5 linked regions of the Danio rerio genome follow. The protein of the gene in region 4 interacts with the protein of the main gene of each other region in a pairwise test. Links are inferred from orthologs where the notes say so. Each region holds a gene or a part of one and is shown on either strand. Other genes may lie near its edges.

What was found.
Region 1: the proteins of homer3b (region 4) and eaf1 interact in binary tests that used the Homo sapiens proteins (3 or more experiments, as listed by UniProt). The two-hybrid records come from large-scale screens. The link is inferred for Danio rerio from reciprocal best matches to the Homo sapiens genes HOMER3 and EAF1.
Region 2: the proteins of homer3b (region 4) and wipf1b interact in binary tests that used the Homo sapiens proteins (3 or more experiments, as listed by UniProt). The two-hybrid records come from large-scale screens. The link is inferred for Danio rerio from reciprocal best matches to the Homo sapiens genes HOMER3 and WIPF1.
Region 3: the proteins of homer3b (region 4) and pkn1a interact in binary tests that used the Homo sapiens proteins (3 or more experiments, as listed by UniProt). The two-hybrid records come from large-scale screens. The link is inferred for Danio rerio from reciprocal best matches to the Homo sapiens genes HOMER3 and PKN1.
Region 5: the proteins of homer3b (region 4) and fryl interact in binary tests that used the Homo sapiens proteins (3 or more experiments, as listed by UniProt). The two-hybrid records come from large-scale screens. The link is inferred for Danio rerio from reciprocal best matches to the Homo sapiens genes HOMER3 and FRYL.

Annotation. Positions count from the first base shown.
Region 1 is NC_133191.1:7,232,720-7,236,236, forward strand, and holds part of eaf1 (ELL-associated factor 1), read left to right. Parts: coding exon 1-64; intron 65-142; coding exon 143-279; intron 280-457; coding exon 458-627; exon of another isoform or gene 628-3,517. UniProt on the Homo sapiens protein: Acts as a transcriptional transactivator of ELL and ELL2 elongation activities.
Region 2 is NC_133181.1:11,765,590-11,769,733, forward strand, and holds the start of wipf1b (WAS/WASL-interacting protein family member 1), read right to left. Parts: upstream 2,818-4,144; 5' UTR 2,755-2,817; intron 2,508-2,754; exon of another isoform or gene 2,496-2,507; 5' UTR 2,422-2,495; intron 1-2,421. UniProt on the Homo sapiens protein: Plays a role in the reorganization of the actin cytoskeleton. Contributes with NCK1 and GRB2 in the recruitment and activation of WASL.
Region 3 is NC_133176.1:49,108,211-49,111,727, forward strand, and holds part of pkn1a (serine/threonine-protein kinase N1), read left to right. Parts: intron 1-177; coding exon 178-307; intron 308-572; coding exon 573-660; intron 661-2,631; coding exon 2,632-2,705; intron 2,706-2,811; coding exon 2,812-2,887; intron 2,888-2,965; coding exon 2,966-3,057; intron 3,058-3,147; coding exon 3,148-3,324; intron 3,325-3,517. UniProt on the Homo sapiens protein: PKC-related serine/threonine-protein kinase involved in various processes such as regulation of the intermediate filaments of the actin cytoskeleton, cell migration, tumor cell invasion and transcription regulation.
Region 4 is NC_133186.1:13,952,924-13,956,440, forward strand, and holds part of homer3b (homer protein homolog 3b), read left to right. Parts: intron 1-112; coding exon 113-244; intron 245-3,517. UniProt on the Homo sapiens protein: Postsynaptic density scaffolding protein. Binds and cross-links cytoplasmic regions of GRM1, GRM5, ITPR1, DNM3, RYR1, RYR2, SHANK1 and SHANK3.
Region 5 is NC_133195.1:25,915,735-25,919,794, reverse strand, and holds the start of fryl (protein furry homolog-like), read right to left. Parts: upstream 2,816-4,060; coding exon 2,743-2,815; intron 1-2,742. UniProt on the Homo sapiens protein: Plays a key role in maintaining the integrity of polarized cell extensions during morphogenesis, regulates the actin cytoskeleton and plays a key role in patterning sensory neuron dendritic fields by promoting avoidance between homologous dendrites as well as by limiting dendritic branching.

The sequences.
Region 1 (3,517 bases), on a different chromosome or scaffold from region 4:
CTGTGAAGGAGATTTACAAGTGGGAAAAGGAGATGAGGTTACCATCACTTTACCACACATACCAGTAAGAGCAGCGTTCTCTTTAACATTTATATCCGCTTATGTATGACAGCCTTTCTAGAATACTCTGATTTCTCTTTAGGGCTCCACTCCACCAATGACGGTGTTTAAGGGCAACAAAAGGCCTTATCAGAAAGACTGCGTTCTCATCATCAATCACGACACTGGGGAGTTTATGTTGGAGAAGCTGAGCAGCAGCATACAGGTCAAGAAAACACGGTGAGCAGACATAAATCCTGTAGAGCGTTATATGATGTAAACAGTTGCAGTAGTGTTGTTACGATAACTAACACCGTGTCCTAACAACATGACAGACAGAAGCCATATGATTTTGTCACATTGTGCAGCATTTGCGCTGTAATATGACCTGGAAAGGTGTGTGATGTTGTGTTTTTAGAGCTGAAGGCAGCAGTAAAATCCAGGCTCGTATCGAGCAGCAGTCAGTGAGAGCGAACCAGCTGACGACCCCACAGTTCCGCACGCCAAACAAACCAGGACTGGGCGCCAAAACCTCCCCTACCAAAGACAACCCTTCACCAGAGCCTCAGCTGGACGACATCAAACGAGGTCAGATATTCACACTCGCTATTATACCATAGTGTGCTTAATGCACTACATACATAACAAGTGTTCTTCAGCCACTGATAAACTTACTGCTGAAAGGCTTTAATTTCACAAGGTTTCTTTTACAGCATCGATAATTTAATTTAATTTAAATATAATCAGTAAATAGACTTCAGCATTTATTTTATTGTTCAACGGTAGAACAAGGTGAAAGATTGTTTAAATGCAGGCACCGTCAGGAGCAGCAGGCGAGTGCCGAAACTCCATTGAAAATACTGTGGTAAAATGATTTTTCATATTTTAATGACATGACACTGGAATTTAATGCAGTGTTTCTTGTCAGCTGTGAGACCCACTTTATATCATATGTCAATCAGGCAGTGAACATCATTAATTTAAAACAAGTCTGATCTTACATGCTATGATTGAATTATTAATTTTTCATTGCTTATTCAAAATTAAAAGTCCCCATGCATATACCCATTAACTGTTTTCTTTAAAAGCACGTTTTCAGTTGTGTAGCAAGCAAAACTTGTCCTAATGTGCAATATTTTATGCATGTAAGGATCTCTGGTCTCACTCTCTCAGTCTTTGTTCTAAAGTGCCTGTCATTGTTCGAAAATGAACCTATGTGAATATAAAACCAACTTCACCTCAGTAAAGCAGGCTAGGCGGAATAGCGCTATTTACTTATGATTTGTTGTTAAACTCAATAAAAACCTACATTATCAATCCTGTAAAAAGCCTTATAAAACTGAAAATAGTCACGTCAATCTTTCACCAAAAGATTTCAGTGGCTGAACAACACTTCTGTGCATATAACCCATTTGTAAGGCAATACAATCTACACCATCTTTGCGTGAGTAAAAGAGTTTTAAAACAGGACATTACCTGTTGAACAGAAATACTTCAGCTTTGGTGTCGTCCTTCCTCCAGCGTGCTAAACTAACTTCAATATTGATTGAGGATTTTAAAAAGTTTTGATTCAGCGTTTGTTTTTACCGATGTCACTCTCTCTTGTGTGCATGTGAGCACGGCGCACAAGAACACGCAAGCGATGGATATGCGTCAACAGATTTGTGCTGACGTACAAGTCTACATTTGTTGACAGACAGTTTGGGCGTCTAATCAGAATTATGGGAGATGTTGGCCCAACAAATTTTAATTGGATGAACATTTTTTTAGTTTTATGCCTTACCCAGAATATAACAATACATATAAATACATATAGATCATTACTATTGGAATGTAAAGACAGTTTCAACCAGCACAACAAAATAAGTTTCTGAAGACAATCACCTACTGCACGTTTAATGATACTAAATGTTATTAGCTTTAGGGCAAGTTCACTCAAAGAACGATAACATTAACTTGAAGCATAACTGTAGCTAAATTTGTGTCCACACCAGTAAATGATAACAGTCTGTTTATTATAAAACTGATTTTCAGGGTTTATTCATTCATTCATTCATTCATTTTCTTGTCGGCTTAGTCCCTTTATTAATCCGGGGTCGCCACAGCGGAATGAACCGCCAACTTATCATACACTACGGACAATTTAACCAGCCCAATTCACCTGTACCGCATGTCTTTGGAGCACCCGGAGGAAACCCATGCGAACGCAGGGAGAACATGCAAACTCCACACAATAACGCCAACTGAGCCGAGGCTCGACCCAGCGACCTTCTTGCTGTGAGGAGAACGTGCTACACACTGCGCCACTACGTCGCCATTTTTAGGGTTCAATAAAACAAAAATAAATTAGAATGCCAGTGTTATTTTAGTTAAGGATGCACTGATATTAAAAATTCAGCAAATACTGGAGACTGATAACTCTTTATACTTGGCTGCTGATTGCATATTGTCCAGTTATGCATTTTCTGAGCCTAATTGCTAAAATTAAACACAAACACAGTGATTGAATTTGAAAATCGTAGCTTTTTAATTGCTTCATGACAGTCATGTTTATGACAGATTTATGACACATTTTGTTGTCTTGGTAATGTCAAGCTGTCATGCCGCAGACAAAAACAGGTTTTATGTAATGTTGTCATCACAAACAATGTCATCTCTACATTTTAAAATGTCATTATGAATGCGTCATGACACTTAAGGCTGATGTATGCTTCTGCGTCAAGCGCATGCGTATGGTCCAGCGCAGCCTTCGCGTGGTCGCATAGCCCTCGCCATGGCTGATGTCGACACTGACCTCTCAAAAAATGTAACTACATGTCACAACGACGCATAGCGCAAGCTCTGTGATTGGTCAGCTTGGTAGCTGTGACGAATGTGGGCGGTGCTGATGGCTGCGAGCCTGATGAAGCGAGTGTTTACATGTGTCGAGTCCCATGAAGGAGCTCCAGATGGAAACTTTTGTTTTGCGTTTACTTCATGATTAAAGTTTCGCCACCGTTCCCGCTTTTAAATGAGCGAGTTTTAGCTACTTGTACATTTAGGTAGCGTTTATAAAAAACAAAACGCACACGAAGAAACTAAACACAAATGAACAAAAACCCCTACTGCCAAATAGCTTTTTGGAAGTGTTATTGCAGAGCAACACAAACAGCAACCAGATGTATAAATGCACGGCTACACGCAAGCCAGACACCATGGGTCACGCTGATCACTCGACGCAGAAGTGTAAACCAGCCTTTAATGATGGTTGTTAAAAGCATGCACAAAATTTCATTGGCATTTATGACAATTTGGACTTGTACAATGTATTTTGGCTACTCCCACAAACATACCTGTGCAATAGGCAGGGCCAGACTGAATCTGCGGACGTTTTTTGCTATTTTTGCAGAGAATTTTGGTAAAAATCTGTGGATTTCTGCTGAATTATTTTGGGAGTATCCAGCAGAGAATCATAACTAAAACCTTAATATATGAAATA
Region 2 (4,144 bases), on a different chromosome or scaffold from region 4:
TCAGACTAGGCAATGTTTTTCTCTTCTTCTATTGTCCAATTTTGGTGAGCCTGTGTGAATTGTAGCTTCAGTTTCCTGTTCTTAGCTGACAGGAGTGGCACCCCATGTGGTCTTGTGCTGCTGTAGCTTGTCCGTCTCAATTTTGATGTGTTGTGTGTTCAGTGATGCTCTTCTGCATACCTCGGTTGTAACGAGTCGTTATTGGAGTTACTGTTGCCTTTCTATCAGCTGGAACCAGTCTGGCCATTCTCCTCTGGCATCAACAATGCATTTGTGCCCACAGATCTGCCGCTCACTGTATATTTTCTTTTTTTTTTGGTCCATTCTCTGTAAACCCTAGAGATGGTTGTGCATGAAAATCCAAGTAGATCAGCAGTTTCTGAAATACTCAGATTACCAACAACCATGCCACATTCAAAATCACCTTTCTTCCCCATTCTGATGCTCTGAGGTTTGAACTGCAGCAGATCATCTTGACTATGTCTACATGCCTAAATGCATTGAGTTGCTTCCATGTGATTGGCTGATTAGAAATTTGCATTAATAAGCCTAACATACCTAATAAAGTGGCCGGTAAGTGTGTGTGTGTGTTTTGTCTTATATACATACATTCAGCATCTTTAAATCAGTAACTGAATATGTATGTGCTTTATCTGATGTTTTTAATTCTTTCCCTCATTAAAGAACACAAGCACACTTGCTTACAAAAGCAAGTGAAAATGTGAACGTGCATTTTTGAGATGCACTCAAAGACCCTGAACATGAAATCAACTTTTTTTTCAAATAATATTACCTCAAGTAAGAACTGACGGGTGGATTCCTTCAACCACAACCTGCTAGATCACACATGCAGAATGAGGCAGGAAGGGGCCGCCCACAGAGAAACGAACGGTAGTTTATTTGAAAGCGTCATATCTTACTGTAAAGCAGAATTTCTGTCATTTGCACTTTGCAATGTTTGCTTGCAACACCACATCAGAAGCAAAAGAGCAGCTCGCTCAGCTAGCATAATATGAGCGTGTTCAAGCACATAATGTGCCCGCTGTCTCTGATTCTGTCTTTCCATCACTTAGTAGGCAGTATTGTCCACTTCCTTTCTGAAACTCAGCATAATGTTGACACTTCTGGCTGCCTGCAGCTCTGTAGCAAACGGATGATCTCAGATTCTGTCGGTCACATGATTTCAGACTCTCTTCAAATCACTGGTCAAATAGACAGAACATTAACCAGACAAGAGAGAAGTAGAAGTGATGACAGTACTTCTGTCAAAGAGGGGAAGTTAATGCAGAGAGGGAACTCGTATGCATTCTAATTTGACTAAACTAAACTAAACACTGCACAGCTAAGCTCATGCTTTCAATAGTAGCACTCTGTGATTTTAAAACCATTGCTTAAGTGTCACACTTTCACACTTGCAGAAAACCACATGAAATACATCGAGAGCTCAACTGCACATTAACATTAGCATTTACAGCCTCATAAAAGTGTTTAATGCAAGAAAAAAGCTCACTTAACAGTTTCCAATGAACAAAACAGTCAACTGTCAAACAAACTGACAATAACTAACCTATTGAACCCAATACCAACTAATTCTAATCTGAGGTAACCATTTTAAAGAACTGAGCGGACACTGCATTTGAAATAACTCGTGACACTGGTGGCACAAAATAATGAGGTTTTTAATTCACAAGGAGAAAAAGATGAAAGAAAAAAAGGAAGGAGCAAAGCATATGACTTGCATTGCATCTCACTGTGGAGACCCCATGGCCTTTCAATTACAAACACATGCTCCTACTAGTTCGAGTTACTCTATGAATCGGTTCTTTTGAATGGTCGTTTCACAGTCAGTTGAACAATTCAAGTTAAACGATTACTGTGGTTGATAATGTCCTATATATTTAATTAATTTGAATACGCTTTTGTTTATACAAATTTATCCAAAAGTTAAGAATTGAACACCAGAACGTCAAAACAAATCGCTCGGTTCTATTTTTAGCCGATTCAATTAAAGATTCGGCTCAAAAGAACGATTCGTTAGCCAATAAGAACTCGCTTGCAGCTATCAGAATGGATGAACTTGATATGTCAACTGTTCTTTATAAGAATTTGCAGTATTTTGTTTTAAGAAGCTGCCTTGTGTGTCTAAACTACAGGAGAAAACAACCTTATTAACCCTGCCACAAATATACGCTCAAACTGGCAACCCAGGAAGTGGGGGAGACTTTGCTTCCCCCAAAAGTTGGCACTGCTTGTGCTTTTGTGGAGGAAAATAGCTATTTAAACTGAACACCTCATCCACACACTGAAAACTGACTCAACACTACAAGTAGGCTGCGTTAAGAAATGCACAGCAAGGTCAAATCACAGACTACATCCATAACTCGAGCGTTTTATACAGCAACAGTCTGCGTAAACACTTACCGGTGCTTTGCGTCTTTTACTGCGCGTCCACCGCTTACGAACCGAACGCAGCAACACTCATCCTCATCAAGCATCTACACAAACACAGAGGAACACAAGTTTTGGGCCACTCCTTCATGGCAGAAACACACACGCAAGTTCTCCCCGCTGTTTCCGCCCAGCGTCCTGCCTACAAGTCCATCACATTAGCTGGAATAAACATTCAAAGCTCATCGCTTGAACGCCGCAAGTAGCAATTCAGCACATATAAGCAGTATCACATCTCTTTAAATGAGAGAAGTACAACCCAATGTCTTGAATTGGACGCGATATCTTTTTAATTCGTTTCTTTACCCAGTTTTTCTTCCTCCAGCAGAACAGCAGACTCTTCGTTCTCTTTATCCGGGACATTCGTCTGTGATGCAACGTCCAGATGTGACTGACTGACTGACTGACTGACTGAGCTCAAACATCTGTCAAACTGTTGCAAGTGTGTGTGTGACACAAAACTGAGCTCTGTGTGGGGAAAAGTCACAGACATGTCAGTCACATTTTGGAAAAAGCTAAATAAAATAATGTTTTTTGACAGAAAACTCTTTTGTTGTTTAAATGTTGCAACTATTTGATTAAGAATACAACAGTATCCGTAGCGAGTGGGGGGGGGGGGGGGGGGGGGTTGTCTTTTTCTCTAAAAGTAGACCATTTTGATGATATTTTATGAAATATTTTGTGCTGGATTAGCTTGTCTTCTTCTATCACGTGCATGCTTTTTACAGTACCAAAATGGTGACTGTTTTGTCAAGTTGCTTCTAATAAAGTGCAAATTTTGTCAGTCCAAGCACACAACATTTAGTTTTTTTATTGTTATGAGGATTTCCCATAGACATACAGCAAGGGGTAGATTTCATGTTTTTGGGGCCCCAAGCAATTCCAGCCATGCGGCCCAAGTCCTGAAATGCACCCTTTCTACTCTTATTTATTTTTTATCTATATTGCTGTTTGTTATATCACTCAATCTTCTTTTCTACATTTTAAATGTGTTTTTAAAAAAATGAATTTGCAAGTAAAAATAATGCATTCATTTTTTTATAAATATGACTGCTGGACCACTCAATGATGGATATTTTATTTTGTAATATTATTATTACATAACATTACATTATTATAAGACTATATAGGAATTATCAATTTATGTCACAGATGACGTCACACAGGTTCAACCAGGCATTCCGGTTGCAAAAAAGACCAGTTGCAATAGCAAACATGTCGTGTTGTGCGGTAGGATGCCAAATTCTAAATTAAATATGAAATTATTTTAAATATTAAATTAAATTAATTAAATAAAAAATAAATTAAGCCCAAACTCCAAACACCACACAGCTTTTAATGCCAACTGCAGACATCTTTGACAAACAGCCATCAGGAGAGCTGAATGGTGTGAGGACCTAATTAAAAATGCTCGACTCTGCAGTTCTTATGTTATATCAAGTAAGTACACTCTATGCTGAATCATACTCATTACTCGTTTTTGATTGCAGCAATGATTTAACAAACAGTTAAATTTGGTTAATTAAACTGCGGACAGTGAATGCTTAGAATAAAATGTAAAAATGTACATTCACATACCCTGCCGTACAGGTGGATTTCGCTGTCAGAATGCAGTTATTTTGCTTGTTGGTGATTACCCAGGCCTTGTACAGTTCCGTCGTCTTTCCTTGTCTTTGGCTAGGCAGAACCTCGGTTT
Region 3 (3,517 bases), on a different chromosome or scaffold from region 4:
CTGTTTTTTCACCATTCTTCAGTATATCATCCTTTGTGTTCAATAGAAGAAAGAAAATCAAACAGATTTGGAACAAGAGGATGGGTAAATGATGGCATGAGGTCAGTGAGCTCCATCTAGTGGTCAGTGTTGTAACTTTTCTCTTTTGTGTATGTGTTTGTTTGTGATCATACACAGGTAAAGCATTTTTGCGAGCTCGACAGATGAACGTTGATATTGGCACATTCGTGAGGTTACTGAGGAACGCCATACCAACCGTCAACAACACAGGAACCTACAGCCCTAACGCGCACACTCTACAGACTGGGTAAATCACACACACCATCAGATGTGCCTGTACCATCTTCCGCAATTTGTAATAACAGTGTCAACAAAACAAAAACGGTTGCTTGTGTATCTTTTTGTTAAGGTTATAATGTTACACAAATAGTACATATTTAGATAAAATGGTAGATTTACATCTTTGTCATCCTGTTTATTATTTATAAAAGTCTAAAATGTCCATACTTAACTGAAATTACATTTGTTCTTAGATATTTTTTTGCAGTTACTAACATATGTGTTTGTTACAGGGAGATATCAGTGGAGAAGTTGAGTTTAGATTTTGATTCACCAATGAAGGTGGACATCCGGCGGGAGGTGACAGATATAAGCACTCCGGTTAGAGACTTTCTCTCTCTTTTAACGTCTTTATTCTTTCTTTTTTTTTTACTTTAAATCCTCTCATATGTAAGCTTTTTCCCTTCCTCCATAACCCCTCCCATCTACTTTAACCCCTCCTCTTTAAATGTAATTCCTCCTGTTTAACTACTGTATAACGCCTCTATATTTAGCCCCTCTTATAAAGCAGCTTCTCTCTTATTCTTTTCATCTCTGTAGCCTCCTGTTTTTCTGTGATTCTTTTTTTATATGTAGACCCTCTCATCCACCCTTAACTCCTCTTATTTATATTCCCCGTTTTATCTATATGTAACTACTTTATAATGAACCCCTCTCATTTATCTGTAACTTCTCCTCTTTACATTTATCCCCTTCTAACTATCTGCAACTCCTATTTATGTTAAACCTCTCCCATCTATATTTAACCCCTCCGCTTTATATTTAATCTGTTATATCTATATGTAACTCCTTCATATTAAGCCCCTCCCATCTACCTGTAACTCCTCCTCTTTATATTAAGCCCCTCCCATTTATCGGTAACCCCTCCTCTTTATATTTAATCTGTTTTATCTATATGTAACTCCTTTATATTAAGCCCCTCCCATCTACCTGTTACTCCTCTTCTTTATATTAAGCCCCTCCCATCTATTGGTAACTTCTCTTTATATTAAGCCCCTCCCATCTATCTTTAACCCCTCCTCTTTATATTTAATCTGTTTTATCTATATGTAACTCCTTTATATTAAGCCCCTCCCATCTACCTGTTACTCCTCTTCTTTATATTAAGCCCCTCCCATCTATTGGTAACTTCTCCTCTTTATATTAAGCCCCTCCCATCTATCTGTAACCCCTCCTCTTTATATTTAATCTGTTTTATCTATATGTAACTCCTTTATATTAAGCCCCTCCCATCTACCTGTTACTCCTCTTCTTTATATTAAGCCCCTCCCATCTATTGGTAACTTCTCTTTATATTAAGCCCCTCCCATCTATCTTTAACCCCTCCTCTTTATATTTAATCTGTTTTATCTATATGTAACTCCTTTATATTAAGCCCCTCCCATCTACCTGTTACTCCTCTTCTTTATATTAGGCCCCTCCCATCTATCGGTGAATTCTCCTCTTTATATTAAGCCCCTCCCATCTATCTGTAACCCCTTCTCTTTATATTTGATCTGTTTTATCTATATGTAACTCCTTTATTAATGTAACTCCTTTATTAAGACTCTCCTATCTATCTGTAACTCCTCTTTATATGAAGTCCCTTCCATCTATCTGTAACCCCTCCTCTTTATATTAAGCCCATCCCAACTATGTATAACTCTTCCTCTTTATATTAAGCCCCTCCATTTATATCTGCAACTCCTCCTCCTTATAATGCACCCCTTCTATCTGTCTGCATCTTCTTCTCTCAATATTAAGCACGTCCCATCCATAACTTCTTCTCTTTATATTTAGCCCCTTCTAACTATCTGCAACTCATCTTTATATTAAGCCCCTCCATTTAAACCTGCAACTCCTCCTCTTTATAATGCACCCCTCCCATCAGTCTGCATCTCCTCCTCTCTATATAAAGCCCCTCAAATCTATATTTTATACCCCTATATTTTGCCCATTCATCTTCATAACACCTCCCCGTTAAATCAAGCCACTCCCATCTATCCATAACCCCTCCTCTTTATATGTAAACTGTTCTGAGTATATGTAACTTCTTTATAATGAGCCCCTCCCATATATCTACAGCTCCTCCTCTTTATATTAAGCTCCTCCCATCTGCCTGTAACTACTACTTTTTATATTTAACCTATTAAGTCTTGATAAACCTATTAAATTTCTTTATAATGAACACCTCTCAACTATAATCACTCCTCTATAAATTTAGTCCCTCCTATCTATCTGCAGCCCCTCCTCTTTGTATTTAGCCCCTCCCATTGGTCTCTAACTCCTCCCCTTTCTTTTTTTCTTTCATAGGAGAGGCAGCCGTCCACCGAGCCTCTCTCTGCTCCAGACGTCACCACGCCTATCAGAACACACTCATTGAGCAGGTACCGTCAAACACATAACTCCCACTATATCTAAGGTATTTTTGTGTTTTTTAAGTGTGTGTGTCTGTGTGTGTGTGTGTGTGTGTGTGTGTGTGTGTGTGTGTAGTAAACAGAAGAAGACTTCTCTGAGCCTGCAGGATTTCCGACTAATTGCAGTTCTTGGCAGAGGCCATTTTGGAAAGGTGATTTTCTGCCTTCTTCACCCTCAGCTTCTCTTTCTCTTTGAGTTTAGTTTCTCATGTCATATCTGTGTCTATCAGGTGCTGCTGGCGGAATATAAGAAGTCAGGGAGTATGTATGCCATTAAAGCTCTAAAGAAAGGAGACATTGTAGCCAGAGATGAAGTAGAAAGGTAAACATAAGAGCTTTTTTTTCGGGGATTTTGCTTTGAGTTGAAGTTTGTTCCTGATTTCTTTATTTTCTTTCTCTGTTTTTTCATCAGTTTGATGTGTGAGAAGCGTATTTTCGAGGCAGTGAACGGTGCACAACACCCCTTCCTTGTCAACCTGTTTGCGTGTTTCCAGACTCCAGAACATGTGTGTTTTGTGATGGAGTACACAGCAGGCGGTGACCTCATGATGCACATACATGCAGACGTCTTCACCGAGCCACGGGCTGTGTACGTACACCCTGTTTTAGCCAGGTTTTGTTTACTGTATAATTAAAAATCTCAAAATCATCTACAGCAGAGTAGATAAGGATATTTTAAAACGTCTTTTATGTTGGGCTCAGTCTATGTTTTAAACACATTTTTTTGCATTCTTGCTTCATTCTTCAGTTTCACATGAATGGGTTTTTGCTGAAGACACTTT
Region 4 (3,517 bases):
CCTTGGGATGTTTAATGTTTAGACCTCTCCTCAAAACAATTTTAGCATGTCATATGCGTTATTTGCATCTTAATTTTGCTAAATTTTTTGTTTTGTTTTTACTGTTATGCAGGCCATTATCAACAGCACAATCACACCTAATATGACTTTCACAAAAACATCACAGAAGTTTGGTCAGTGGGCAGACAGCAGAGCGAACACTGTGTACGGCCTTGGGTTTTCCACTGAGCAGCAACTTCAGCAGGTAAATGCATATTGTGGACTGGTAAACTGGTTTATAGATTCATGCCATATTGATGTTGTATAATTTAATTTAATAATGTTTTTAATATTATATTTTATTTTTAGGGAATCATACTAAATTATTTAAGCTTAATCCATTTATGACCCAGTAACCAGTTTGAGCATACAATAGAGTATACAAATGTCTACTTAAATATGTAACTGAAATAGCTTTTCCATTCTCTATCAAAGCTGTCTTGTTTGACCATGAAAAGTCTTTAAATTTTTTTTTTTTGTTTCCATGGCAAGTGCTTAAAAAACCTTTATTTTTAAACCTTAAAAAGTTTTTGAACCATTTGTACTAAAAAAGCACATTTCTTTCTGTTAAAATGACCAAACAGCCATCCAGAGGGTTAAGGTTGATGATGTGTGTTGAGCAAAACTAGCATAAATTGTAAAATTTTTCCTAACCAAAGAAATAAAAAGAAAAAAATTGTAATGAAAATGCATAAACACATAAAACTTCTTTCGTTTTGGGTGATGAATTAATATTAATATCTGTTGTAATAAAGAAACAGGGGTGACGCAGTGGCGCAGTAGGTAGTGCTGTCACCTCACAGCAAGAGGGTCGCTGGTTTGAGCCTCGACTCAGTTGGCTTTTCTGTGTAGAGTTTGCATTTTCTTCCTGCATTCGCGTGGGTTTCCTCCAGGTGCTCCGGTTTGCCCCACAGTCCAAAGACATGCAGTACAGTTGAATTGGGTAGGGTAAATTGCCCGTAGTGTGTGTGTGTGTGTGTGTGTGTGTGTGTGTGTGTGTGTGTGTGTGTGTGTGTGTGTGTGTGTGTGTGTGTGTGTGTGTGTGTGTGTGTGTGTGTGAATGAATGTGTGTGGATGTTTCCCAGAGATGGGTTGCGGCTGGAAGGGCACCTGCTGCATTAAAAACGTGCTGGATAAGTTGGCGGTTCGTTCCGCTGTGGCGACCCCAGATTAATAAAGGGACTAAGCCAAAAAAAAAATGAATGAATAAATGAAGAAACAGATCTCAACTTGTCCTGTTCTTGATGCTGATTGGATATTTCAGTTTCGTGCAAATTTTGTAATTCACCTAATTTTGCAGTGTGCTCAAGACCTTTGATTCCTTAGTAGCTTCTAAAACTGTGGTAAACGGCTACTGCATAAAGTTTTGACTGATATGGTACAAATATGAATATATATATATATATATATATATATATATATATATATATATATATATATATATATATATATATATATATATATATATATATATTTATGTAATAATGTCCTGCAGAAATTATGATCATGGATGAGCTAAAGCATTCAGAATTTCTTATCATGGTAGTAATAAGCAGAGTCAGGCTGAAATGCTGAAGCTATTGCTGATGATAGATGAACATGGAACAAAAGCAGCAGAACTTATATTATGCCATAGTCAAGTGCTTCTGGTTTTTCAGATTGGAATAATGTGGGTAGAAGCAGTGCGGTTTTATCAGACTGAATACATTTTAAGCTTCTGTTGTAATGTTGCTCCATCTAGTTTAATAATATACAGAACATATTAAAGTATATTTGCTTTTTACTTGTTTTCAATGAAAGTGTTTTTTGACTTTGCATGCATATCAGCCTGTTGTTGAAGACCCCCAAAAACAAAAAAATGAGCTTTTATAATGCAAAATAAGGGCTCTAGCAGAAATATGGCAACGAACTGATAGTCACAAATATAGTAGCTTTAGGGATGGATAATTTCTGGATCAATTCGGGTGTGTGAGGCTTTATTTTCGCATATTAATGATCTTTATAATGGGGATCAAGTACTGACACAAATAAAGCCTAGTTCACACTACAGGATTTTAAACATCAGCAGATCACTGTGCTGTTCACACTACATGACTTGACTTTGTGTCTTTTAATCTCTGTGGTGTTCACACTACGCAACACTCCGTGAACGATCCACAAGAGGGGGGTCACACACTACATGATCTGACAACAACTCATTCCCCATCAGCTCATTCAAGATACCAAACCACAGCCAATGAAAATTTGAGGGAGGAGTCGTCAGAAAAAGCGGAACACTATTGGCTGCTTGTGTGCTGATGACATCACTGACAGCGTTTCAAGCTTTGGAGAAAGCATTTAAAAACATAGTCAAATCAGCTGATTTATCAGCGGATTAATCACTCATCTGCAAGGTTCCAGTGGAAAGATATACAGAGAGTTTTTAATTTTTGTAATTTTATAACTCTTTGAAATAAAACTAACATATTTATAACACCCTGCCGTTTTCTAACTATCAGTGTATTTCTTTCTGACATTGTTATTTTTTTTATTACAAAACAGTAAAGAACTGAGCATTTCTGCCTTAAATTACCATATTGGTCAAAATGACTGCATGCATGGCTGATACTTTTCGCTGTGACTTTAAATGTGTGTGCATTTTCTTGCCTGGCAACTTCCTGCTAACATAAACAAAACTTTCTGATGGCAAAAACATCAATTTACTTCAGATATCTTTCAAAACAGCATATTCTGTGCTGTTAAATAGCTCCTGTTTGAAAGTGAAAATGAAAGCCAAGACCTTTAAGTGTTTTAGTATCTTAACTACATATTTATAGGCTGTATTACCAAAAAATATTATATTTTTAGGGTAATAGTGTCATTAAATATGATGCCAAACATTCAAAGCTTAATTATAATATCTTAATAATAGCTTTGAATGTAAATATGTTGTGACAGTATGGCGTTTATATAAGAACGGTCAGAATGAGCAGTATGGTAATTCTAATAGTTAAAGAATTCTAGTTCCACTGTTAATATAGCCTACTCTCATGTCTGTGCTAACGCAGAATGAAGCGAGTGCGTTGATGCCCATTCTGACCAATCACAGATGTTTCTGCTGAGCTCCTGAACACACAGGCATTCAGCTTATGCTGATATGCTCTCTCATTGGCTGCAGCTCGTTACTATATCTGACCACACGTGGGGTTGAGCCGGCCGACTGCTCTGGAATATTTAGCATGCTGAATGTTGGATTTCCGTCTGCGAGGTGTCGGCGACGCGTCAGCGAGCCTCGTTGATGTGTTGTTTAGTAGTTCACACATAAAGAGCGGCGAGCACCGAGCACCCGCAGATTTCTTCCCGATCACAGCCCGATCTGTCGGCGAGCTCGTTAACTTCCAAATCGAGCTCAAATCAGGCTTAAAATCCTCTAGTGTGAACTAGGCATAAGGGATCCGATTAGATCTACTAGACACACCCCAGACATGATGCTTCAGAC
Region 5 (4,060 bases), on a different chromosome or scaffold from region 4:
TGAAAGAGAACGAGATTAATCTGCTATGGCTGTAATGAAGTGTCAACATTATTTCAGCAGTGTCTCAACATGCCCAAATTCCACCAATCTCTTTGATCAAGTTTCTCCGTAGACTTGCAACACAACACAGATTGAACAGAATACCCTTGCAGATTTTACATTAAGTTTTACTGAGGGACAAAGTTATGTTTTTGACCTGACTTATAACCAGAGTCGGGCAGTGGGCAGAGTGGATGTGTCCACAGGCTCGGTTGGATGTTGCCACAGCTCTTGAAACTAGGTCTCGCTCCTCATTGTTTGAACAGAGAGGCCCAACGTACAGGAATTGGCATCAACACACAAGATTGGAGAGAGGAGGGGACGAAAGCGAGACTACTGTTGCATGCCAACTCCAAGTGACATTTCTCCAACAGTGACCAACGTAACAAGCTTTTTATGTACTTACAGTCAACACTGACTATTAAACTGCTATATTCATAAATTACATCATATCACTGAATATCAAAAAATCCACAAACTTGTGGATGGTAATGCTAACTGATGGCAGAAGCACGGCAGAAATAAAAAATAAAAATAAAAAAAAAATAGTAATGTTTTTGGATATAAAAGCTGAATTTAGCCTCTCACTGCAGATGGACCTGCAAGGCATGACTTCTGTTCAATGCTTTAGAGAAATTATCCACAAACGGCTCAATTTACATCCTGAAATGAAACATCTGCTTGTTCTTTAAAAAAAATAAAAAATAAAAAAATTTGAAAACACACACATTCACAAGAGTTCATGCATCGGTGTATAATGTAAAATTAAAAATACATGTACTATGAATATTTTAGGAATAGAATTACTATATTTAAATTTGAATTTAAATCAAACAATATTGAGAACTACATGCTCAAATCAGATGCAAATTAGAAAACAGTTTTAAAATAATAAAAATAAAACAATATTACCTTTTTAACAGCAATGTTTGTTTGTTTTTTTAATCAGTTTTATAATAAATTAAGCTAGGTTAACAAACACCTTTTGCCATAAACTTTAATCGTATAGACAAATATAACACTTAACACACATACTGACTAGCCATTCTTAAACAGAAGTCACAATGCTTATCTTTTGAGTCACAATATTTAAATTAATCAAAAAGAAAAATTGACTTTTCGGCAGGGCTGCACAATTGTTTCAGTATCGATATTGCAATATGTGCACCTGCAATAGTCACATTGCAAGATATACAATGTGGAGTCTGGATTATAGTTGACCAGGAGCTAAAGAATTGTATTTAATTACAGTTTTTTTATACGGAATTTATGCAAAAGAAAAAAAAAAGGTTCCCTCGCTTAAAATTTTTGTCTTGTTTCTTGTCCAAATACGTACATTTCAAAGCAAAAACAAGATTGTTTTACTCCACTGGTAGAAAATTTAGCTTGTTTTTAGAAAAAAAAAACAAAAAAACTTTTATTTCTTCTAAAGTTGAAAACAAAAAAATATTTTTACTTGATCTAAAATTTTTGTTTAGATATTTGGACTAGTAATGAGACAAAAGGGAATTTTTTTTGCATTGTGGTTATTCAATTTCTGTACTTCAATACAGAAAACAGTCAAACAGAGCTATTCAACATATCTTGTGAAACTGTATTCATATTACAATAATTATTGCAGAAAAAAAAAAATCACAATATCAGATTTTTCCAACATCGTGCAGTCCTACTTTTCTGCATCTTAAAGAATGCATCTGTTGACGTAAACACATCCAAAAAACAGTCATTTAAGACATCACCCACATGCACAGAACGTTCCAGTTTCTATTTTCAATCAAGTATTTACATTAGAAGTATTTATGTCCTATTGGACGGATTAGATTTCCAACATTTAAAGCACCCCTAATAATATTAATGAAATTTAAATCACATTTGGCCAATTCATTCAGACTAATGTAATTACGTGTGAATTATTTTCTTCCTTTCCTGGACTGGGCTACAAGTCCTGATTACAAAACAGATTATTAGAAAAATACCTTCAAACTGTTTATATATATAAAAAAATAATAATAAAAAAATAAAAAAAAGTAATCTTAGAAACACATCATGTGTCTGTATAAGCATATAGATTATACTGTGCGTGTGTGTGTGTTGAAATCAGTATGACTGCGTGTACAATTCTTATCCCGTTGCTCTTTTTCTCCACCGGGATTGCTAATGTTTCCTTTCATTGATCGGACTCTTCACTGGCTCTTCCACCATTATCCTATACGCCACTTCCTACGCTGTCAGACCATCATCACGTGAAACCCAAGACCCTCAAAAGGACATGAAATGAGGACAGAGAACAAGGTGGAGAAGCTGGCGATGAGCAGGAGCCATAAAACCAACCACTCCACAGAATGCAAAACCCACTGCTGAAAAGCGGCCAAACGAGAATATGAACATATGAAATAGTACTGCTTAGGTTTTGGGCTGGAATAGGTCAGAACATAACAATGACCCCTAAATCTTTGCTGGTCAAGTCAAGTGTGTGTAATGCTCCAATGACGCAACGCACAACCAAAATGTAATTTCAGCATCATTCTCCAACAATTGAGCGGCACAGTTCTGCATCTATGCAGAGAGGAGGGTGTGTTTGCAGGCCTGTCGCAACCAGCACTTTTTAGGAATCCATCATACACCATTCCAGACTCTATATGCAAATCTGGATGTTTCATCATCATAAAGCACACGGTGTATGCATCAGAGAGTGTTACTTACAGTTCCCACTCCAGGACTTAAGGAGAGATTTGATGCTGATCTCAAAGAACACAGAATCCTGCAGACTCAGCATGACGCCACCAGAGGACTGTGGGTAAGTGAAGGCACTGGTTTCTGCAGCCAGTCCCGCTGGCTTTGCGCTCCAAACGTCCGTTGAGCTCACCCGCACATCTCGTCTTGCCTTCAGGCAGGCAAAGTTTCAGCCTCTGCCCAGGCTTGCGAAGAAGCGCATGCTGCCGAATGTGCAATGACACTCACGTGTGGGCGCATACACACACACACACACACACACTCACATCAGCTGCAGGGCTCCGAGAGGCCCATAAGATCCAGCAGAAGTGGAAACAAGTGAGCAAGACAAATTACGACAAGAAAAACGAGACAAAGCTGTGTCCTCAAATGTCTTGAGTGAGTATCATCTGCTCTGTACAGCCTGCAACGCTGCGAGGACAAACTTTGTTCCGTTAATGTCTCAGCGCCTAAGTGAACGAGAGAATGGTGAGGATGGACTCCCAGCAGAGAGTAGCAACACTCTCTCTTGCTCGCGTAACTCTTCCTGTCTGTGCTGGGTCCTAGTGCCTGAAGGATAAGCACCCACTTTCATTCACTCCGTATGGCTCTCTCTCCATCGCCCTCCCTCTCTCTTGCTCTGTGAAGAGAGCGTTTGTTTCAATGGCAGAATAGAAGGAGGGGAGGGTGATGTCATCAGCACGCTGCTAGCCTGCTCTGGCTTCACTCCAGCGCTTCAAATACATGTCATTACGGCTACCGCCTCACTCTCTCCTCTATTGCTCCATCCTTTTCTTCAGAGGCTTGTGAAAACGCAAACTTCCTGTAGCAACACTGATGTGTCACCACTAACTGCAGTAAAGTGAGAGAGGTAGAGACAAAGACTGAGGGGGAGACTGAAATCTAGAGTAGGTGTGTGAGACAGAAGTGACTTTAAAAAAAGGCTAAAAGGCAGTCGGGCAAGATGGAAGAGAATAGGACACGTAAAACATCTACTAACTACAAACTAGTTTCAAATACTTGTTTAACCATCTCTGCAGCTCACTTTACTGAGTTTTAGATAATCACGCATCACTACAATGCGAGGTTTCAGCTACATTCATTCTTCCATAGCAGGACGCAACACCAAAATTCTTTTCCACCACGGCTACAATACAGCTTTTCATTCAAACCTTCCGTTTTTGTTGGGGTTTTTTTTAATAGCAGGTTATAAATCACACCAAAACATATTAAAATCTAAGTGAATTATAACACCAAGCTATTTGGTAATTGTAGTAGTGCTGTGCAGTATTTGTTTAACCCTTTAACG